Elephas maximus indicus: one gene and its partners. The protein of the gene in region 2 interacts with the protein of the main gene of each other region in a pairwise test. Links are inferred from orthologs where the notes say so. Each region holds a gene or a part of one and is shown on either strand. Other genes may lie near its edges. The genes, in order: DDX17, SF1 and RBM17.

Evidence for each region.
Region 1: the proteins of SF1 (region 2) and DDX17 interact in binary tests that used the Homo sapiens proteins (3 or more experiments, as listed by UniProt). The link is inferred for Elephas maximus indicus from reciprocal best matches to the Homo sapiens genes SF1 and DDX17.
Region 3: the proteins of SF1 (region 2) and RBM17 interact in binary tests that used the Homo sapiens proteins (3 or more experiments, as listed by UniProt). The link is inferred for Elephas maximus indicus from reciprocal best matches to the Homo sapiens genes SF1 and RBM17.

The regions. Positions count from the first base shown.
Region 1 is NC_064822.1:182,372,388-182,376,134, forward strand, and holds the start of DDX17 (probable ATP-dependent RNA helicase DDX17), read right to left. Parts: upstream 2,763-3,747; 5' UTR 2,557-2,762; coding exon 2,507-2,556; intron 1-2,506. UniProt on the Homo sapiens protein: As an RNA helicase, unwinds RNA and alters RNA structures through ATP binding and hydrolysis.
Region 2 is NC_064825.1:127,946,213-127,949,959, reverse strand, and holds the start of SF1 (splicing factor 1), read left to right. Parts: upstream 1-1,379; 5' UTR 1,380-1,790; coding exon 1,791-2,130; intron 2,131-3,517; coding exon 3,518-3,646; intron 3,647-3,747. UniProt on the Homo sapiens protein: Necessary for the ATP-dependent first step of spliceosome assembly. Binds to the intron branch point sequence (BPS) 5'-UACUAAC-3' of the pre-mRNA. May act as transcription repressor.
Region 3 is NC_064822.1:52,636,200-52,639,946, forward strand, and holds the start of RBM17 (splicing factor 45), read right to left. Parts: upstream 2,873-3,747; 5' UTR 2,785-2,872; exon of another isoform or gene 2,648-2,784; intron 1-2,647. UniProt on the Homo sapiens protein: Splice factor that binds to the single-stranded 3'AG at the exon/intron border and promotes its utilization in the second catalytic step. Involved in the regulation of alternative splicing and the utilization of cryptic splice sites.

The DNA of each region.
Region 1 (3,747 bases), on a different chromosome or scaffold from region 2:
ACAATTCTATATAAGGTAATCATAAAACAGAAAGCCAAGCCTATGTTATCACTGTCATGCAAAGAAAAGAAAAATGACAAAACACCAATTTTTAGAGATTCTATCAATCTAGTTTATACAAACCTACGTGTTTCCTAGAAGTTGCCACTTCAATGCTATTTTCCAGATCTGACATTAAAACTAATGTTTTAGAAAGAGAAAACAACTTCTGAAAGAGGTTCCTTTTAAAGTTTATCCTCAACAGCCATTTTTTTTAAGGGATGACAAAAAAGGTATTTTCCCATCTCCCTACTGCCCTCGTTATTTATCCAAGAGGTACTATTTCACACTGAAGGTAAAATTTGAAGGAAAAAAAAGTAGCTGTCTTTTATGTTTATAATTAATGTTGACCTCAAAATGAAAAAGAACCTTTTATCCTTGTAGAATTGAGCCTGTTTGTGCCATCCTTTAATGTGAACATAACCTAATACCTGGGTACACTACTGAACTGCTCATTAAATGTTTATACTGAATCATAAAGGAAAATTCGTGAAAACAGGGCTCAGACCTCATAAAAGAATGCTATTATTTGAAATTAATAATTTTAAGGCTTAAAAAAAAATGTCATCTTAATACTCAGAAGCATCGATATGGGATAAACTAAGCATGAATTACTATCCAAACTCAAGTTTTTTCTTTTCAAATAGTTTATCACTTAAAAACATATACGCAACATTATATTAAATCAAACATCCATGGTAAAGAAACATTAACACTACTGTGGTAGCCCCTATGTGCCTATTTCAAGTTTACTATTCCACCATTAACAACTACCTTGAACTCTGCTAATCATTCCCCTGCTCTTTATAGTTTTACCATATTTTTACACATACTAAACAAGCTATCCTTCTGCCACAACTTGATTTTTGATCCAATATTATGTTTATGAGTGATCCATGTTGATGTAAGTTTATTCATTTTAGCTACTGTATTCTATTGCATGAAAACCTACAAGTTATCCAGACATCTGGGTTGTTTACAGTATTTTGCTATCATGGAACAATGCTGTTACAAACATTTTTGTGCATGCATCCTGGGCACGTGAGCAAGGGTTTCTCTAGGCCCTAAAATGTAGGGTTTAAAGCTTGGAGAGGAATTACTTGGTCATTTTCAACTTTACTAGATATAATTCTTTTTCCTAAATGGTTGTATTGAAATTCACTTCTACACTTAGCTATATCATGAAACTCCAAGCAAATGTTTCATTTTTAGCCCTTCTTTTTTTAACACCAAGATAAAAGTATTTTCCTTCCTAACAAAGTACAAACAAAATAATTATCTTTTATTTGGTAAATTAAGCGATAATTGAGGTACATGCGGCTAGTAAATCTGGTACTTGTGTATCTGAGCTACAAAAGACAAAATGTGGGGACAGAGTAACAAAACACTGCAAAGTAAAGAGAGTTATCAGAGAAGGAAATACGCTGGGTTGAAGATCTTGCTCAAGGTCACGCATATATTAAGAAGTGGATTCGTACTACTCTAAAGAGAGACATAATTTTTATTAACTAAAAAAGTTACAGTACAAATCAGTGCATGGATCTCTTAAGCATCTTTTTCATTTCAGCGACATTAAGATTTGAAACTCAGTCTCTGGAAGTACTTCAGGTCTGATCTCATGTTAACTTCCATTCCAGAATCCTTGGCATTGTGTCACTGTCACATTAAGAATTTTATAGCTAGGCTGAAAAATTAATACTGCAGTCCAGTCAGAGGGGGAGGAAAAAAAAAAACCGAGAAGAAAAATAATCAAAAATACAATAACGACCCCCCGCAAAAAAAAACTCCCTTCCCAAACACGATCATTTACATCTGAACGTGCTTCCTCCAAAGTGGAAAACAAAAGATACTGAAGGGGATTTAAAAAATATCCTAAAAATTAAGAGTCGGCCTCCCGGTGTCCAGTTTCAAACCAGGTTCCCAACCCAGTAACAGCCATCTCAGGCGCTAGAGAACACCAGGGAAGCCATTTCGCGTTAACGCTTTCCCAGGCGGCATCAGGCGACGTCCCCCTCTTCCCGCAGGATCCCCCCAGTTTCCCGGGCGACCGCCGAGGCCCAGAGCGATTCAGTGGCTCGCCCCGTCGGCCGGGCTCTGAAACCGGGAAACCAGGCGCGGCCCGGGTTCGAGCTGGCGGCGGCCATGCCGGCCCGGCCTCTGGTTCCCCTCGGAGCCAGGCCGCGCCACGACCGCCGTCCACAAAGAGGAGCTGGAGCGTCGCCAAGCCGCCGCCCCTGCTGCCAGGTCACGAGTGACCGCGGGACCGAGGCCCCGGCGCGCCCACAGGCCAGCGCACCAAACTGCTATTATTGTCCCGCTCGCCTCCCGGGTTCGGGGAGAGGGTGACTAGCCCTGCAGTTTCCTCCAACGCTCCCGCTAGGCCGAAGGCTTCAGTCTCCTCAGGAAACCACCTCCTCCCGCCCCACGTACATCCAAGGCCTTTCTTCTCCTCCTCCTCCCCCCTTACCCTCCACGGTCACGATCCCGGTCTCGGTCCCCAAAGCCGCCTCCGCGCATTGTCCCAAAGGGATAGAGATCTGGGAGCGGGGCACGGATGGCCGGGCTCGGGAGGGCCTGCGGCTCCGGTCTGGTGACGACCGATGGCGGCGGCGCCTCCGCTGTTGGGGCGGCGGCAGGCGCGGCGCTCTCTCGCTCCGACGCGCTATCTCCCGTCGCAGACGCCACCGTCGCCGCCTCTCTCGTCGGAGACGGGAGCAAAACACAAGAGAATCGGGATTACTAAAACGCTGGGTAGGTTTAGCTACCCTTAAACCCAGCAGTGCTGCCTTTAAGCGTCTCCTTCCTCCCCAGCGACTGCACAAAATGGCGGTCGCTGCTGAGCCTGCTCCAGCTTAACGCTACGTACGCCGGAGACGATACGTAAACAGCGTCTCGGAATAGCCCGAGGGCCTCGCGGAGTAATACGACTATTCTTGGAATCGGTTTACGTTAGTTGCGGAGATGGGCGTGTTTTACGGTAGGTAGAAGAAAAACAAAGTACGGAGCGGGCGTAGAGTTCTCGCGCCACCTGAACTGGAACGCGGGGTGGGGGTGGGGAGGAAGAGGCTCGGGTGCGACGTAACATTCTTTGCGGCCTTAGCCTGCCCACTATTGCGAAGATGCGTACTATGCGTAACGCATTATGTTTAGAGAATAGAGTTTGCCGGATTCCGACCGCGGGATGGAGTGCCGCGTTGCTTTCAGGGACAATAACTAACCTCCATGTTGCAGTCATCAATTCTAGGGTCTCCGAGTGTCAGAAGCCCAGGAGGGTCTTAGGGGTCCCTGGCTGGCGCTCCTAAATAGCCCTGCAAGCCCCCTCGCCCCTCCGCCCTCGGCCCGCCGAGACAGGCCGCGCACCCGGTCTCCATTTCCTTTCGGTTGTCTCTCCCTGCGCTATCGCCGGCAGCCATGATGGATGCGCCTTGTCCGGTTCTTTCGGGAGGGGGTCAGGCGGCGACATGCCAGCAGGGTTAAAGCGCTCTCTGCTCTACTTGATTCACACTGAAGTGCATTTTTTGAACAGAATATTTGTACCATTCTCAGCTGAGCACAGTTGACGTCCAAACATAGAAGCAAATTGTTGGTGGGGAACCTCCTTAGGTAGATGCCGCTGCCCCAGAAGGCCCTTCACGGTCTCCGAGAATGTAACAGTTTAAGAGTGGTGGTCTTCAGACGCGGAAGTGAGAGCATAAGTACATGTTTTTA
Region 2 (3,747 bases):
CCTGGTGGTGTAGTGGTTAAGTGCTACAGCTGCTAACCAAAGGGTCCACCAGGTGCTCCTTGGAAACTCTATGGGGCAGTTCTGCTCTGTCCTATAGGGTCGCTATGAGTCAGAATCGACTCGATGGCACTAGGTTTGGTTGGTTTTGGTACCATCTAAGGAGTCTTGGTGGCACAGCTCGGCTGCTACACCAGCTGGTCCTTGGAAACCCTATGGGGCAGTTGTAACTCTGTCCTATAGCGTTGCTATGAATTGGAATTGACTCAATGGCAATGGGTTAATAACTAAATCATTTTTTCTTTACTGAATTGAAACATCACTTTTCTGGTATTCGTGCTTGCATATGGGGAATCTATTTCTGGACTCTACTCAGATTCTGCTCCACCGATCTGTCCTTCCTACAGCCAATATACGGTTTTCGTCATTGTGTCTTTATACTACCCTATCTGGAAAGGCGAGCTCTTCCTCAACCTCTGTTACACCTTTTTCCACCATTTTCATTCGGATATGATTTTTAAGATAATTTCTCCAAATCCCTTCCAACCCCGTTGGGATTCTAATGGAAACGATTTATTCTTGTTAATTTTAGAACTGACAATTTCATATTATCATTCACCTAAGATTTTTTTTAAGATTATTTAAGATTATGTTCTCACATTAGCTCAGATAATTTTTAATCCTTCAATAAGACTATGCCGTAGCTGGCTTCTTTTTTTTTTTTTTTTTTTGCACTTTTTAGTTTTTTCAAAGAAAACCCAAACCAAATCCACTGCCGAGAAGAGTCGATGCCGACTCCTAGCTATAGAACACAGTAGAATTGCCGCATCTGGCTTCCCAGGCTGTAAGTCTGTACTCTTCCGCAGAGCGCCTGGTGGGTTTCAACCGCAAATCTTTCGGTTAGCGACCCAGCGCTTAAACACTGCGCCACCAGGGCTCCTTCAAAGAAAACAGGAAGTCCCTTTTTACCTGCAGCGACAACGGATCCGGTTACTGCGCGCGCGCGCGTCGCCCCCCCCACCCCGCCACTCCACGGGCCCGGGTTACCATGGGAATAGAGGATGACGTCACCCAAAGCTTCAGCGCCGGACCCAGGGGTCCACAGCCGACAGGGCTGGAAAGGCGGCTTTGCCATATCTACGCATGCGCACTCCCTGCCCCTCCTTCCTGCCTTAAAACTCGTTGGTGCTGGGGCTCCTCAGCCGCGACCTCTTGGTTCATCCGGTCGAAACTTCGCCCCGGAGAGTAGAAAAAGAATCGAGCGAGTGACAGCCAATCCCAAGACATTACGACGCCATCAAGATTGACTGACTCAACGGACTCCAGCCAATGAGAGAGCGCTCCTCTTCCACGTCATAGAGTTTGCCCATCCCCTCCCCGCCTTCCTGGACTCCGAGCTCAGTCCGCGCAGTAACAAACGAACTGCGCGCAGCGACAGCCCCAGCTCGCCAGGCTTCGCCGCCATTTCCTCCCTCGGCCTAACGGTTCGGCCAATCCCAGCGCGCATCGACAACGGCTAGGGACCGGCCAATCGGAAGACGCCGATCCCGACCCCTCGAGCCTCGGCCCGGTCCAATCGAGGCCCCGGCCCCGCCGCCCCCGGCCCGCCCCCGCGGCGCCCTCTCTCCTCCCTCTTTGTGCGTCTCGCGCCGCCGCCGCCGCCGCCGCCCGCCGCGTGAGAGGACGGCTCCGCGGCAGCGCAGTCCGGCCCCCCCCCGGAAGATTGGCGAAGGAGAAGCCGCCGCCGCCGCCGCTAAGGAAAAGGAGCCGCCGGTGCCGGTCCCAGGGGCGCCATGGCGACCGGAGCGCTGGGTAAGCTGGGCCTCCCCGGGCCCAAAGGGAGCTTCGAGCCGGGGCCGCCGCCCGCCCTCGGGCCTGGGGCGGGTCTACTGGTGCCCGGGCCGCCGCCGCCGCCGCCCGCGGGCGCGATGGGGGCCCTGACCGCGGCCTTCCCCTTCGCGGCGCCACCGCCGCCGCCCCCTCCACTGCCCCGGCCGCCGCTGCCGTCCCCGGGCTCCGCGAACCCGCCGCCGCAGCCGCCCCCTCCGCCGCTCTACCAGCGCGTGTCGCCGCCACAGCCACCCCAGCCGCCGCGTCAGGACCAGCAGCCAGGCCCGGCCGGCGGCGGAGGAGGTGAGTCGGGCCGAGCGCGCGAGCGGCGTCGCGCCGACGGGCCCGGCCGGCTGAGGGCCGCGCGGCTTCGGCGGCGGCGGCGGCTGCACGCGGCAGGGGCGCGCGCGGCCTGGTTCACGGGGACTCTACCGCGCACGCGCGCGGGGGGAGGGGAAGAGCGGGAGGCAGTCTGCTGTGCGCAGGCGCAGTGTGGCGGCCAGGCCTCGGGGCGCCGCTGCAAAGCCCGGGGCCCTTATTTGCTCTCCGGTCCGCTGGCATAGGGGGAGGCGTTGAGTGGCCCGGGTGTAGAGGGTGGCAGGTGGGTAGACCGGGAGGACAGGAGAGCGAAAGGGTGAACTCGTGACTTGGGCCGCCCTTTTGATGGTCTAAGTTGTCTGAAAGGGAAAAGAATACCCAGAATCGCCTCCCTAGTTGCACCTTAAGGCGAGGTTTTCAGTACAAAGAATGAAAGAGGTTGAGAGTTTCCACCTGATGGTTGGGGCTGTTCCTTCCTGGTCCCTTTTTGTGGGGTGGGGTGGGGGGAATCTGGTCACTGCCTTCCCTGTTTTATTTTCTGATCTCCCTTCGTTTACCCTAGAGCTTGCTCAGTCTCACCGCCTCCACTTTACTGTTGTTTTTAAAGACTTTCCCTCTTGGCTTGCACCCTTGGGGAACTAGAACGACTTCTGCGTGCTAACAGTTGGGAGTTTCTGCCTCTCTGTCGGGGAAGGGCCGCTTAGCTGCTTTCACATACCTTGTTGGTGTGAACTCATACATCTTTGAAGAGTTCAGACTTTAAGTGTCTACCTGGCCGGGATCACCGAATGCTGATCATGGCTAAACGCATGGAGAGTAAGGTGGTGGTGTTGAAGGATTGGGCTTTTCACGCAGTAGTGTGTAGTGATGAGTTCAGGGGTATCCCGGCTCCATTCAGAAAGGTGACTGGTGCGGGGTGGAGGTAGGAGCCAGCAGTTCCCCCAGCATTGTTCTACAGATTGTCTGTGGTCCTTCACTCTGCTCCTGTCTCCCCTGGGGCTTCTGAGGCATTCCGGCCAAGGTAGTATAGACGCTATTTACTTTGTTAGTATTAAATTTAATTACGTGAGATTTTGTGTACTACGTTTTGTCATTTCATATACACACGTTAGTAGTTTCTTTAGAGGGAAGTTATAAATGTGTAACGTTAACTTCTCTGACCCAGCTTCTCTTACGCTTGTAGTAGCCATATGTTTCGTTTTAATCTCTGATCTCTGACATTTGTCTTACATTCCGTGATGTTTAAGTTTTAGGTTGGGCCCTCAGTTTCGCCATCTGCTGAGGTTCTGTGGAATACAGGTGTCTTGTGCTGCCTGTTGGCAGTTACTGTGCTAGTTTGTATTTGCATCTGATGGATTTTATCTGCCTTTAGACTTCCCGAGTAAGAAGCGGAAGAGGAGCCGCTGGAACCAGGACACAATGGAACAGAAGACGGTGATTCCAGGAATGCCTACTGTTATTCCTCCTGGACTTACTCGAGAACAAGAAAGAGCTTATATAGGTAAATACACGTTCTGCATCTAAACGCATTTTCAGGTTGTTACTGTTTATCCTGAACAATATTTCTGTCCTTTGGCAGTTTGAGATTTTAGTGGTTTCTTT
Region 3 (3,747 bases), on a different chromosome or scaffold from region 2:
GCAACTCCACTCTGTCGGCTTTAGTTTTCCTAGTCCATTTGAGTGGCAACTCCACCCCCTCAAACTCCAAACTCAAACTCCAAAGGCCATGGCTCCACCGTTAGAGACCCCAGAGGTCATGGCCATGCCCTTTGAGACTGAGGCAGCTCTGCTTTTAGTGTTCCTTGTTTCTTCAGCTTCTGCTTCCTTGTCCTCTTGGCCCTTTGGGCCTCACCACCCGCATATGCCCTGCTGGAGCAGGTGTTCCAGAGCTCTGAAGCTCCACCGATAAGCACCTGGAGGCAACCCACCCCACCAGTAAACTTCCACTGGAAGGCACTCAGCTCTCTTGCTCAGTGGGTCAGCAAGCCTAGCTCCACCAATAAGTGCTCAGAGGCACCTCACTCCACCAGGAAGCCTCCTGTGCAAACACACTCAGTTCTCTCGCTCTGTGGGTCAGGTCCAGCACCATGTGGTGCTGGTTTTCTGGTTCTGCTGCTGCCAGTCCTTTGCTGTCTGTGCCAACCCCAATGTAACAGCTTTCCTCATTTCCTTCTGAGTCCTCTATCCACTCAGTTTTAAAATTGCTTCCACATTTTAGGTATCTGTTAAAGCAGCACCCCACTCTTGGTATCAAATTCAGTCTTGGTCATCAAGAGCCGCTATAACAGAAATACCACAAGTAGATGGCTTTAGCAAAGAAAATTTTATTCTCAGTCTAGTAGGCTGGGAGTCCAAATTCAGGGTGTCAGCTCCAGGGAAAGGCTTTCTCTTCTCTATCAGCTCTGGTGGAAGGTCCTTGTTATAAATCTTCCCCTGGTCTAGGAGCTAGGGTGCAGTGCAGGGACACCCTTGTCACAGTTTAATATTTACATTCATTCTCAAAGACTCTACTTCCACAATGCCATACACTGGAGTGTGTTACAAACAAACTTCACTTGAATTTAGGTATAAAACAGAACATCCTTCACAATTAACTACTATGAAAGGCTTGAGGGATTACTAGACCTGAATCATCTGTTCCCTGCCAGGGGAGGTCTGAAGAATTCACATTCGGCAAAAACTAAGAAAGTAATTTAAAACAACCAGCTAAAAAGAAACACAGTTAATAAAATCACATCTAGGAGTGCGTAACAATTCTCTCAAAATTCTTTATTTTTCCATAAAAGCTATCTTTAGTAACCACTGAACTCCACAGTCAGACGAGCTCTTCACTGCTAATACTTGTACCTTGTTACATTATCTATCACACAACCTACTCTTTCTAAACTCTAAAAATAAAACACGCTCAATTTAAGTTATTAATTGTCCTCTATTCCCTAAAAACCCTTATTATTACCCAAAATGCCTGCTGCCTTTATCCAGTAAAAATGTAGAAACTGAGATGCATCCTTTAAAATCTCCACCTGTTGTAGGAAGTCACAGAAGTCCTCATCCACCCATCTACTTGAGTATGTGCAGAATCTTGCACTTACCTAGAATATCCACCCATATGCCTAGTTTTTCCAATTAGTGCCTTCAATGCTTTCCCTTACTTTCTCCTCAAAGAACCTCTATGATCTGACCTAATTACCCTTCCAATTACTCTCCTCAAATGTTTCTCTTGAGCCTTACCTGCAGTTCCCAGAATACATTATGGTGCTTCACCTCTGCTACTTTTTCACTTATTTTCTCTGCAGGAAACTCTTCCTATACTTTGTATATCTAACAAAATATTATTTATTCTCTAAAACTCAGCATAAGCATCGCCTCCTCTTTAAAGCCTTTCCAAACCACACCTTAGTCCCTCATATCAACCCAAGCACAACCATGCCGGTTTCCCTAGAGACCAAACGCTTGAGTAGTGGCAAAATCTTACTCATGCTGCATCCACAGTTCACAACACGTTGTTGTCTGGACAGTTCACAACACGTTGTTCGGTGATTAAACATCACAACTAAAACACTCCTTTACAATGACAAGGAGTAAGGTAACACCGGAATCATGACTTCCTCCATCTGCCCAGGTAAGCTCCCATCTTTGAAAGATGCCAACACTTGGAATTCCCTGTTCTGAGACCAGGGATGGAAATGCCTTCTTTCCATTTAATTCCCTGAGCCCTGGAGCGATGCAAGTGAGCTGGGCCACAGGTGACATATTGTCCTGGCTGCTAGAAGCTAGTGGCTAAAAAAACTAGGGACCGATAAACTTTTTCTAAACATGGTCAACGAAAGAGAGGAACGTTCTTTAGTCCAAAAGAGATTGAAACAGACAGACAAGAAAGGGAAGGATGGGAAAAGAGGAGAAATGAGAGGCACTGGGTCACTAGAAGAAAATAAAGGAAAAGTGGCAGAGGTGCTGCGAGGAGTTGCAGAGTCAAGAGCGGGGCGGAGGAAGGCGATGAGAAATGCGGCGGACAGAGAAGGCCGGGGGCAGCACCTGGGCATGGGAGCCAGAGGCAAGGGGAGACCAACGCAAAAGATGCGAGAGAAAGTGCAGGGAGAGAGGAACCCGAAAGCGTTGGAGTATGAGACCGTCGGCAGCTCTAGACTGGCCCGGGTCAAAACCTTCCGCTCCCACCGCGGCGCGGCCTAAGCTGCGGCCTCACGTCCAGCTCTGTCTCGGGAAGGCGCTCCCGCCCCAGCTTCCGCGCCAGGCCGCCGGCGTGGCGGCGAAGGGGGTTACTTACCCGGCCCACCCGGCCGACTTTCCCCATGGGCCGGAGCGGCGGCAGCGCGGAGCCGCAGTCCGAGACGCGCAAGCTCCGTACCGAGCCCGGAAGCGCCGCGGAAAAGGGAGATTTGGACGCACTCTGCGTAAACCTACCGACGACCGGAGCCCACAGCTGGCGCCAACCCCTACGCCAAATCCGCAGGAGGTTCCGCGGCGCGGGGGTCAGAGAACGTGTACTGCCGGAAGAGAGGGGACGCCTACGCTGCTGGCTCCTCGCAGCAGTGCCCCCTGACGGTAGGAGGTCTGCACTGCAGACTCCCCTCCGTCGGCGTCTTTTTCTTCCACCAAAAGGTGTCGCCTTGGCGCAACCTTTGAAATTTCATAACTTTTTTTTTTTTTTTTGGAGAGGGTGACAGTGACCCCGGACGGTAAGAAGTAGAAATGGTCCAAGGTTGCAAAGATCTCAATGGGAACCAAATGTCTTCTAATAAGGGAGAGGGAGAGAGAATTCCTCCTGGCTCTTCATTTTAATTCATTGAAACCCATTCATTTATATACAAAAAGCTGAAAATAAATCCCTGGGCGAGATGAATGGGGAAACTGCAGCAGAGGAAATGGTAGTAAGCGTTGAAATGATTGAACTGTAAGGTTAAGAAAACAACAGATATGGAGAATAGGGTTACAGCAATGAATGTAAATGTTATAAACCTTCACAACTTAAAAATAATGTAACTAACAAAAGTTAGGAGGGGAAGTGAAAGTGGGACTTTGTGTAAATACGATCGTTTTTACAACTGAAATTGGAGGCCAAGAATATTTCAAACTGATAGAGATACCATTCTACTCCCATTAGGATGCCAAGATTGTTTTTGAAAAAGGAAAATAACAAGCATTGGAGGGGATGTGGAGAAATTGGAACCTCATCCAATGCTAGTGGGAATGCAAAATGGGACAACCCTCGTGGAAAACAATGTGGTGGTTCCTAAAAAAATCTAGAGGTAGAGCTTTCATATAATCCAGCAATTCCACTCCTAGGTATATACCCTAGGAATCTAATAGAAGTGGCACAAGCATATACATACCTATGTTCATCACAGTGCTATTCACAATAGCAAA